3 linked regions of the Macaca fascicularis genome follow. The protein of the gene in region 2 purifies or fractionates together with the protein of the main gene of each other region. This does not show direct contact. Links are inferred from orthologs where the notes say so. Each region holds a gene or a part of one and is shown on either strand. Other genes may lie near its edges.

Region 1 (4,150 bases), on a different chromosome or scaffold from region 2:
ATCTCCGCTTAGATGACTAACAGACATTACAAACTTATCACCTCCTTAACTGAACTCCGAATCTTCCCACAAACCTGCCCCTCCCACAGTTTTCTATTTCTCAGTTAACGGCAATTTCATTCTTCTAGTTGCTCAAGCCCCAAACTTTGACAATAACCTTATTCTTACAATTCACTTTCAATCTGTAAGCAATTCTATTGGCTTTTCCTAGAAAATACATCTAAAATTAAACTGCTTCTCCATCTTCACTTCTTTCCAATTAAGATGTTATCATCTCATCTGAACTACAACACCTCCATGATTAGTCTCATGGTTTTCACGTACCCCACCCCACAACAAACTATTCTTAACACAGAAGCCACAGAAGATTCTATTAAAACCTAAGTCAGGCCAGGCGCAGTGGCTGACGCCTGTAATCCCAGCACTTTGGGAGGCCAAGACAGGCAGATCACCTGAGGTCAGAAGTTCAAGACCAGCCTGGCCAACATGGTGAAACCCCATTTCTACTAAAAATACAAAAAAAATTAGCCGGGCGTGGTGACACGTGCCTGTAATCCCAGCTACTTAGGAGGCTGAGGCAGGAGAATCGTTGGAACCCAGGAGGCGGAGGTTGCAGTGAGCTGAGATTGCACCACTGCACTCCAGCCTGGGCAACAGAGCCAGACTCCGAAAGAAAAGAAGTGGGTGGGGTGAGGTGGGGTGGGGCGGGGCGGGGCAGGGCAGGGCAGGAAAGGAAACAAAAGAAAACAAAAGAACAGACAATAAAGTAAAGTAAAACAAAATAAAACATAAAGTAAAATAAAATAAACCTAAGTCAGATCATGTCACTCCTCTGCTCTTACCTTTCCATTGGTTATTTACTCACTGGGCTATTCCTCAAGGTAAGATTCATGTCGAGGTACATTTTGAACACATCACTAACATAATGTCTTGTCATGTATTAGGTATTTAGCAACTATTTGTTAACTAACTAAAACCAACCAAAGTAACCTAAGACCTAATTTTGGAAACTCTTAATATCAGATTACAGTTTGAGCTTACAGATAATAGAAAGTCACCACATGGATCCAAACAAACATATGATCATGTACGTTCTGGGGCTCTTCCCATCTCTACACCAAATAATTATACACAGTTATGAACTAAGCTTGAGAATAAATCCAACATGATTGTGTTTTGGAACTTGAGAGCCACTTGCTGTTGCTGCACCAGAATTCTATCACTCGTAATGAATTACTGGAATGGCTTTTTTGCACTGCATTATCTCAGGAGAAAATAACAATGAAATGTACACACAAGTTCTCAATAAATATTGCTGTCTTGGGCAAACAGTGACTCCATGTTAGTATTGTCTGTGACTCTCCTTCAGTCTCACAGTACAATTCCTGAGTACATACAGACTTCTTCCTTTTCTAAAAAAGATATTAACATCTAAAAATAAATGTATCCAGAAGTCTAATAATAGAGGAGTATATAAATTATGAGGATATTGCTCAAGATTGAGATGAATAACTACATTAGATTAAATTTACTTCTATTCAGTGTTTAATTCAAAGCATTTCCAAAATTACAGCAATCAAGCAGCAAAATTACCTTCCAAAACATATGGAAGTGGCTTATTACAATCACCTCATTTCTTAAATAACAGTATATGGGGTTGCTGCATAGATTAAATAAATAATATAGATAAAAGCCATCAGAACAGGGCCTGGCTCAGCCCTCAATACATTAGATAGTATTTTACCAAAAGTGAAAGTTATCAAATACTCTAATCCATTGTGGACTATGTAGAGCTATGCTTGAAGGGTCAACTGTTTGGAAACAGTAGCTGAGATAATACATATGAAGAGCCATTTGGAAAGGTAAAAGCAGTTAAGAAAAAAAATTGCATTACTTCTGAACTGTGATACATACAACACAGCTAACTGAAGGCAGCTGTAGTATCTTTTGACTGAGAATTTTGTTTTATTTTGAAAAACCATTATTCACACTTATCATTATCTTTCAACAAAACAATGAGTTCTATCATTTCCACTAAACGCAAATACTTCTCTGTACTTCGACAGGGCTAATCTGTTAATTTTGAATCAAAAATACAGGGTTAAATAACTAAAAGTATAATTGGATTGTTTGTAACACAAAGGGTAAGTGCCTGAAGGGATGGATGCCCCATTTTCCATGTGATTATTACACATTGCCTGCCTGTATCAAAACATCTCGTGTACCCCATAAATATATACACCTACTATGTAACCACAAAAATTTTAAATTTAATTTTTTTAAAAATCACGGTTAAGTCTTGGTTCTGTCTACCATCAGACAGTACCAATGGGTTAATAAGTGGATAGCAGACATCTCATTGCGACAAATACGTCTGTATCAAGCCAAAACTGAATTGTATTCAGCAAACATGAAGACATTAAAGGTATTTTCAAGCAAGTTTTAGTTACACTGAACTTTCCCGGGTCATCAAGAAAAACTGCTCTCTTGGATTACCCACCACAGATTTCAGCTAAAGGTCGAAATTAGCCCACTATCTCAGACGGGCTAATACTGCAGCGGCAGGCAGTCTGTGAATGTGAATGATAAACGGAGCTAACACAGTAAAGTGACTCCCCTAGACGTCCCACTTTAGCCTCTCTCCTTACGCAAGATTTGAAGACAGCTGAAAATTGTGAAGTCATGTTTTTTTTGTTGTTGTTGTTTTTAATTTTTTCGTCTTCCAAGAGTTGAGAAGGGGGTGGTTAACAAACGAAGAAAAAGAGAAAGACCGGAGCAAGAGAGAGAAATGAGGGGCCGGGGTAAGCCAAAGCCTGCAAGCAGCCCCAAAACAAGCGGAAGTGGGGGACCTGCAGCAATGCTGCCCCAGCGAAGAGCTGTGAGACACTGCATTCCTGGAAGGCTATGCAGCCAAACTCCCATTCTCTCAGTCTGCCCAGAGGATTACAGGGGAATCCCAGGAGAGGAAAAGCGGAGTTAAACAGGAGGAGGAGAAAAACTGAAAGTACAACTTTGAAAAATACCTCAGGGCCTTCGACTACAGTCTCCGGAAAGCGGTCGGGCAACGATGACGACAATGACGCGCCGGCTGTGCCCGCGCCGAGGGGCGCTTTCCGATGATCTCACGCTGCTCGCCACGCCCCCGCTCCTTCGCTCTTCTCTAAAGGCAAATCTCAAAATGAGTAGCTCGGGGCCATGTTGTGGGAGAGGATTGGGGCGGCACTCTGGGAACCTTTGTCTACATTTGTACCCGGCCAACACTCAGCCCAAATACAGGTTGAGTGTATTTAACCAGGAAAGAAATCTTAGTTACTGAAACTTTGTATTTTTACTTTCCCGGGAGCTTTTCCAGGGCCCTCACTGTTACTACGCTTTTATTGTCTGCCTCAAGATCAGCGTCTTAGAGCAGCTTCCCAGATTATCCGTGGGGAAGAATGGGTTGTTTTTCCAATCTGTCAGTAAAAGATACTTCTATAATACAGTAAAAATGAATTAGTAGAAAAATGGGGAAAATATGTGCAAAATACAAGCCCAAATTTTTTATTATTAGTTTCAGTAAATGTAAAATTGCATTTCAACGTATGCAATCAGAAGAAACATAATAGAAAATAAAGGCATTAACAGAAACTGTACATATTGTTCGTTGAAAGTTTAGTATAAGCGATTGAGCATTGTCTTAACATTTGTAACTTGTCATTCCATGATCGTAATTTGATAAAAATTTATGCCTGAGTTGTCCATATATTAAATGCATGTAAAAGCATTTTGAACAAGCACCATGTATGTAATATTTAAAGTTTGGGGGAGGTCACAAGATGGCCGAATAGGAACAGCTCCAATCTGCAGCTCCCAGTGTGAGTGAGGCAGAAGACAGGTGATTTCTGCATTTCCAACTGAGGTACCAAGTTCATCTCACTAGGGCTTCTCAGACAGTGGGTGGAGCCCACAGAGCAGGGCGGGGCATGACCTCACCTGGGAAGCACAAGGGGTCCGGGAATTCCCTTTCCTGGCAAAGGGAAACCGTGATAGACCATAACTGGAAAATCAGTACACTCCCACCCTAATACTGCATTTTTCCAGCGGTCTTAGCAAACGGCACACCAGGAGATTATATCCCGTGCCAGGATCGGAGGGTCCCACACCCACAGAG
Region 2 (3,647 bases):
CACACACCTGCAGCCAGTCCCACTGAGGGGACTCCGGACCCTTGGCCTCCAGGCCTCTCCCTTTCCACAGCCAGGTGCTCACCTATCAAGCATGAAGCGCAGTCATTTTTTGTCTACACCACTCCTTCCCTATTTCCCCGGGTATAGCCCTCTGCCTTTCCTTTGTAGAACTGTACTCCATGCCCCTTATTCCAACCACGCGGTTCTGACAGGGGCTTTCAAGCTTAGTATTCCTGCCCCAAGGGGCTAGCCACAGTGCCACTCACTTATCTGGTGCCTCTCGGCCTCCCAGTCACCCTTCCATGCTCTGCCCCACAGGGGCTGGAAGCCAGCAAGCTGTATGTCCCAGACTCCCTTACCAGCTAGTTTCCAGCAGTAATGAGGTGGGAGAATGGAAGAAGAGCAGCACCCTGGTCCTCACTGACAATGGCAGGCGCTGATGGCCGTGGCTGTGTGACAGCCATGGAGGTGGGGTGGGTTCTGGACCTCAGTGGCCAGGGCAGAGGCAGGACATGCTATGTGCATGCAGAACCAATTGAGATGATGTCTCCAACATGACAGAGCAGGAGCTGGCTCACAGGTTCAGCCCAGGTCTGGGAGGGGTTTCTCATCTTTGGGTGTCACTCCTGGTTCCTTTTTCCTCCTCTAGCTCCTCCAACACTGTTGTTACAAAGTCCCTGCATTTAACTCCCTCCATCTGAAACTCTCCAAGTGGTTTCTGTCTTCTTGACTGGAGGGGACCATTATAGCACTGGGCAGAAAACTCAGAATAACCTGAGCTTAGGACACTGCACCTGAGCCAACGAGGAAAGCTCTCTTGTCTTCTTGTTTGCTTTTGAGCCTCTTAAGATGGAAATGGAACGTAAGGGGTCAGTCCCAGCCTCAGGAGAGATGCTGGCCGAGAGAATGAAGCTGACGTGGAGAGAAAGGCAGGGATGGGAAGTGAAGCAAGGACATCCTGATGCTGTTTAAAGTCCTGGTTTTATTTTTTTTTGAGATGGAGTTTCACTCTTTCACCCAGGCTGGAGTGAAGTGGCGCGATCTCAGCTCACTGCAACCTCCACCCTTTGGGTTCAAGTGATTCTCATGCCTCAGCCTCCCGAGTAGCTGGGATTACAGGCACGTGCCACCATGCCAAGCCAACCTTTGTATTTTTAGTAGAGATGGGGTTTCGCCATGTCGGCCAGGCTGGTCTCGAACTCCTGGCCTCAGGTGATCTCCCGCCTCAGACTCCCAAAATGCTGGGATTACAGGTGTAAGCCACCACACCCGGACATACATTTCCTTTCTAGTTTATTTATTTATATTTTGAGATGGAGTTTCACTCTTGTTGCCCAGGCCGGAGTGCAATGGCGCGATCTTGGCTCACCACAACCTCCACCTCCCGGATGCAGGTGATTCTCCTGCCTCAGACTCCTGAGTAGCTGAGATTACAGGCATGCACCACCACACCACACCTGGCTAATTTTGTATTTTTAGTAGAGACGGGGTTTCTCCATGTTGGTCAGGCTGGTCTTGAACTCCTGATCTCAGATGATCTGCCCACCTCGGCCTTCCAAAGTGCTGGGATTACAGGTGTGAGCCACCGCACCCGGCCCCACATTTCCTTTCTAATTAAGCAAGTTTGAGCTGGGTTTCTAGCACTTGCTGCTAAATGAACCACGACGATAAGAGCAGCCCTTGCTAAGTGGGATCGAGGTGGCATGAGCCTATTATCTGCAGAGAAGTGAGGCCTGGAGGAAGGGAGGGGGAGCTGTCTGGCCTCTGCCCTTCAGCCACCCCAATCTTCACACCTACCTTTTCTTGCTTGGATGTAGGATCCAGTACGAGAGTCCCATCAGAGTCTAGGGCGCAGGTGACCCCACAGAAGAGAGCCCGCATGGGCACACCTGCATCCACCAATGCCATGCAGGCGGCATTCAGACAACAGGCCAGGAGCTGAGCACCACAGGCAATGGTTAAGTTTCTTTTTTTTTTTTTTTTTTGGAGATGGAGTTTTGCTCTTGTTGCCCAGCCTGCAGTGCAATGGTGTGATCTCAGCTCACTGCAATCTCCACCTCCCGGGTTCAAGCGATTCTTCTGCCTCAGCCCCCTGAGTAGCTGGGATTACAGGCATGTACCACCACACCCGGCTAATCTTTGTATTCTTAGTAGAGACGGGGTATCACCATGTTGGCCAGGCTGGTCTCAAACTCCTGACCTCAGGTGATCCACCTGCCTCGGCCTCCCAAAGTGCTGGGATTACAGGCATGAGCCACTGTGCCCAGCCTAAGAAGTTTCTACCGTAGGCCTGGCCAGCAGAGCAGATCCATGCCTCCCCCGACCAGGCTGATGCCTGTGGCAGACATCACTAATCGGTCACAGAAGGGCAGTATGGCAAGAGTGCTTAAAAGTGGTCTGGGGATCAAGTAGCCCTGGGTTCCAGACCCAGTTTTGCTCTCTCAGCTGTGTGACTTTGAACAAATGACTTAGAGTCTCAATCTCCTCATCTGTTAGACGGGGAATATAATATTCAACAGGTATGTACTGAAGTACGTACCACACATTTGTTGGCAAGTAGGGTCAGAGAAGGGAAGAAACCTTCCAAAGTCACGTGGGGGAGGCACTGGCAAAGCCAGGCTCAAAACTTGGGTAGCAGCCACTCTGCGGTGACAGAGCTGGCAGGGCAATGGAGGAAGAGCCATCGCGCTGCTGCCTGCAGGGAGCTCAAAGTGGAAAGACAGCACAGGTTGGGAGTCAGCTGGCTCTGCCTCAGTTTCCATGTGTGTCTTCTCCAGGCGGAGCAGGCCACACAAAGGCCACAGCTTTAGAGTCAGCCGGTTCCAGTTCTGCTGCTGATCCTCCACCACTTCCTCTGGGCTTTACTTTCCCCTTCTGTAAAATGGGGTCACAATACTTTCTCTCTCTGCCCATCCATAAAATGTCTATCCAGTTCAGGGTCATGTTCCAGTAAAGCCTTCTACAGTGCCTAATTCTGGTCCTCAACCTCAACCTCCCTCACCTCAGACAGGGAGATCTTTCAAGGCCAAGCTTCTGACTCAGCCGCTGTCTGCTCAGGGCGCCCCCAGCACTGAGGGCCTGAAATCCACTGAGGTGCCGAGTAGAAGTGATTGCCAGCCGGGCACAGTAGCTCACGCCTGTAATCCCAGCACTTTGGGCGGCCAAGGTGGGCTGATCACTTGAGGTCAGGAGTTCGAGACCAGGCTGGTCAACACGGCAAAACCCCATCTCTACTAAAAATACAAAAATTAGCCTGCTGTGATGGCGGGCACCTGTAACTCCAGCTACTCAGGAGGCTAAAGCATGGGAATCGCTTGAGCCCGGGAGGCAGAGGTTGCAGTAAGCTGACACTGCACCACTGCACTCCAGCCTGGGCGACAGAGTGAGCCTGTCTCAAAAACAAACAAACAAAGAAAAAACCAAAAACACAAAAGTGATTGGCACAGGCTCTGGAGTCAGACGGGCCTGGGCTTGAGTCCCGCCTGTGCGGCCTTCCAGTTGTGTGACCTTGGGCAAGCCCCTTCCCCTCTCTGGGCCTCAGTTTTGTCACCTAAAACATGCGAACATAAGAACACTCATCTGCCAGGGTCCTTGGGCTCTAGAACTAGATGGTCTGGGTCTAAGTCTTGGCTTTGCCACTTCCATGG
Region 3 (3,604 bases), on a different chromosome or scaffold from region 2:
TCTCTTCTTTGCAGCATTTTCTAGCTGTAGATCAGGAACAGATGTGGGGGAGGAACAGGGAGACACATGGGAGAGGGAACCCTGCCGGCCTCAGCAGTAGCTGGGATCCAGCTGCCTAAGTGGTAAGAAGAACTGTCAGTGGTGGGAAGAGGAGCTATGGCTGGAACTTCGGACCAACACTCAGGGTCAGCTGAAACCAATTCCTCACTGGACAATGACATGAGGTCATTTAAGAAAGGCAAGCAGGCCAGGTGCAGTGGTCATGCCTATAATTCCAGTGCTTTGGGTGGCCAAGGTGGGAGGACTTCTTTAGGCAGTCTGAGACCAGCCTGGGCAACATAGCAAGACCTCTATCTCTACAGAAAAATGAAAAAAAATGTAGCCGGGCATGGTGGTGCGTGCTTGTAGTCCTAGCTACTTGGGAGGCTGAGGTGGGAGGATCGTTTGAGCCCAGGAGTACAAGGCTGCTATGAGCTATAATCGCACCACTGTACTTCAGCCTGGGCATCAGGGTAAGAGTAAGACCATGTCACTATTTTTTTTTTAAAAAAAAGAAATTAAAAAAGAGGTGAACTGAAAAGAAGTCAGGACTTAATACAAAGCATAGGGCAAGCCCCCTAAGATACCCAAGGAAGATCCTGACCACAAGGAGGGGCATCGTTTTTCAAAGGAAAAAGGAGAAAGGCTGGCACGTACCGCGACCTGCTGTCGGACGGAGATGGCCTGTTCTGCTGCAGCTTTGCACGCCTCCTTTGCCTGTTCCCGGGCAGCTGCAAGGGAGAGAACTGTCTCTGGAGTTGCTGAATCCAGCAACCACCCTCCTCCATCTCCATCCTCCTCCGACTTGGCCTAGCCACAGGGGTTGTCATGGCTGATCCCTCCTCCCTCGCAGCTCCCTGGTCCCGCATCTCCGCAGGACAGGCTGCCTGAGGGCTCAGGCTCAGGTGCGCTGTGCACCTTCACCTACACTTGAGCTGATTCTCCCTGGCCCTGGCTGCTCCTGTCCTGTGAACCCAAATGCTCAGTGGCCTGTGGACCTGAGGGCGTTTAACAGGATCATCACCATCACCATAGTGGACAAGCTGGCTCAAACCAGCTACTTCGGCTGCCAGCAACTCCAGCTTTCCAGCTGCTCAGGACAAAATCTTCATCCAAGACTCCCTCCTTTAGGCCGGGCGCGGTGGCTCAAGCCTGTAATCCCAGCACTTTGGGAGGCCGAGACGGGCGGATCACGAGGTCAGGAGATAGAGACCATCCTGGCTAACACGGTGAAACCCCGTCTCTACTAAGAAATACAAAAAATAGCTGGGCGAGGTGGCGGCGCCTGTAGTCCCAGCTACTCGGGAGGCTGAGGCAGGAGAATGGCGTGAACCCGGGAGACGGAGCTTGCAGTGAGCTGAGATCCGGCCACTGCACTCCAGCCTGGGCGACAGAGCCAGACTCCGTCTCCAAAAAAAACAAAAAAAAAAAAACAAAACTCCCTCCTTTCTCTCACCTGCCACATCCACCTCATCCTCAAATGCTGTCAGCTTTGCTACGGGACAGATCCAGGCTCTGATAGGTTCTCGCCACCTCTTCTGCTCCCACGCTGGTCTCAAGGCCACTGTTCCCTCTTGCCTGGGCCACTGTCATGTCTCCTCTCCCTTCCTGGGTTCCCATCCTGTCACCTATCGTCTGCTCTTGACACAGCAGCCAGAGGGCCACATGTCAGTCACTTCCCACCCTGTGTCTGCTCAGCACCCTCCTGGCTTCTGAACTCAGAGTAAAAGGCAGCATCATCCTGTGGGCCCCTGCCGGCTCTTTCCCCATTTCCTGCTCTTCTCTACCCGCTCTGCTCATGCAGGCCCACTTGCTGCTGCTGAGCATGCCTAGTGAACTACCCTCAGGGCCTCTGGGCTCGCTGTGCTGTGGCTCCAGAACTCTTCTCTAGCTCACTGCAGGTCTCGTCAATGTCACATTCATTAGACTGCCTTCTCCAACCACCGTCGAGACAGCTACAGCACCCCCCCAGCACTCCCCACCCATCTCTCTGCACAGCACCTGCTGCCATCTGCCAGGATAGACACTGATTGGCCACCATCCCTCAGCAGAAGGGAAGCCCCACAGAGCAGGGGCTGTGCCTACTTCATTCACAGCCGTATCCAGCACGTGGCTGAAACAGCTGATGTGCAACAGCCGTCCTTTAACAGCTGACTGAGTTACAAGGAAGTGAGTGCTACCTGTTTGCTCAGCTGCCTTCTTCTTGACAGTTTCTTTAGAGTCTTTTTGTACTTGCACCTGGGCCAGCTTCCAACGGTTGCTGATCTATAATGAAAGCAAATATAACAAAAAAAACCCTCCAAAGTCAGCCACCCAAGTCTGTCTTACTTTTCATGAGATGATGTAGGGCAGGTTAACCTAAGAAGTACACACATTCTAAGTCATAAGTTTCAAATCTAAGGGCATGAAAAACAAATTTCATGCTGGCTTTATTGCTAAAATCGCTATTAAGGGGGACAAAGTGCTACTGTCCTCCAGGCACTGGGCCATCCGTCATCTCGTTCAATCTCTCTGTAACCCTGGGACAAAGGTACTGTCATCACCCTCTCTTTAGAGATGAGCAAACAGGCTCGGGGAGACTAAATAACTTGTCCAAGGAACACGGTCAGTAAATGACAGAGGCAGACTCAAGGCTGGGCTTCCACAAGTCTGCTGTGTTTCCTTATGACACCCCACTGACCTATGGCGTTACAACACATGGAGGTGACACTGGGCATAACACACGGGACGTGCGGTTGTTCAATGTGCCACAACCCATCAGAGGAAAAGAGGAGAGGAGGCAGAAGCCCCACCTGATTCCCCATTTCTTTTTTTTTTTTTTTTTTTTTTGAGACGGAGTCTGGCTCTGTCGCCCAGGCTGGAGTGCAGTGGCCGGATCTCAGCTCACTGCAAGCTCCGCCTCCCGGGTTTACGCCATTCTCCTGCCTCAGCCTCCCTAGTAGCTGGGACTACAGGCGCCCGCCACCTCGCCCGGCTAGTTTTTTTTGTGTTTTTTTAGTAGAGACGGGGTTTCACCGTGTTAGCCAGGATGGTCTCGATCTCCTGACCTCGTGATCTGCGCGTCTCGGCCTCCCAAAGTGCTGGGATTACAGGCTTGAGCCACTGCGCCCGGCCTGATTCCCCATTTCTAAAAATAGCAAGCTAACTCAGGGACAGGGACAGGGCTAGGGCCAGGGGACCTGTCGGTTTTGCCTAACACAAGAGTTCTGCTGCCACACAGAGGGAGCCAGTCACTCATGTCATCAGAATAGAGGCTTCCTGCAGGGAAGAAGGAGGCTGCGAACCATAGTTCACGTGCTGGCTCCCGGAAATATCTCAAGGGGGTCTAGGGGAGGTGTGTTCTCATCCTTACTCATAATGCTGGTAAAAACAAGCCAGATAAGTAAGATAGAGTGTTTTAAAATTAAAGCTGTCACCTTTAAGATCCTTAAAGTAACAGACATCTGTAAAAATGCATCAAGCTGTATACTTAATATTTGTGTACTTTACTACATATAGATTAAACCTCAATTAAAAAACCGCAAGTGAAGATTTGTTTCTTACAAGGTTTCCCAGTGCTTTTAAG

Evidence for each region.
Region 1: the proteins of EXOSC5 (region 2) and C1D purify together in Homo sapiens (affinity purification with mass spectrometry; 4 studies listed by BioGRID and IntAct, counting the BioPlex papers as one, with this or other methods). This does not show direct contact. The link is inferred for Macaca fascicularis from reciprocal best matches to the Homo sapiens genes EXOSC5 and C1D.
Region 3: the proteins of EXOSC5 (region 2) and EXOSC10 purify together in Homo sapiens (co-immunoprecipitation; 8 studies listed by BioGRID and IntAct, with this or other methods). This does not show direct contact. The link is inferred for Macaca fascicularis from reciprocal best matches to the Homo sapiens genes EXOSC5 and EXOSC10.

What each region holds. Positions count from the first base shown.
Region 1 is NC_088387.1:53,857,265-53,861,414, reverse strand, and holds the start of C1D (nuclear nucleic acid-binding protein C1D), read right to left. Parts: upstream 2,833-4,150; 5' UTR 2,685-2,832; coding exon 2,649-2,684; exon of another isoform or gene 2,501-2,648; intron 1-2,500. UniProt on the Homo sapiens protein: Plays a role in the recruitment of the RNA exosome complex to pre-rRNA to mediate the 3'-5' end processing of the 5.8S rRNA; this function may include MPHOSPH6.
Region 2 is NC_088393.1:48,530,703-48,534,349, forward strand, and holds part of EXOSC5 (exosome complex component RRP46), read right to left. Parts: intron 1,939-3,647; coding exon 1,798-1,938; intron 83-1,797; coding exon 1-82. UniProt on the Homo sapiens protein: Non-catalytic component of the RNA exosome complex which has 3'->5' exoribonuclease activity and participates in a multitude of cellular RNA processing and degradation events.
Region 3 is NC_088375.1:223,728,070-223,731,673, reverse strand, and holds part of EXOSC10 (exosome complex component 10), read right to left. Parts: intron 2,305-3,604; coding exon 2,220-2,304; intron 771-2,219; coding exon 697-770; intron 25-696; coding exon 1-24. UniProt on the Homo sapiens protein: Catalytic component of the RNA exosome complex which has 3'->5' exoribonuclease activity and participates in a multitude of cellular RNA processing and degradation events.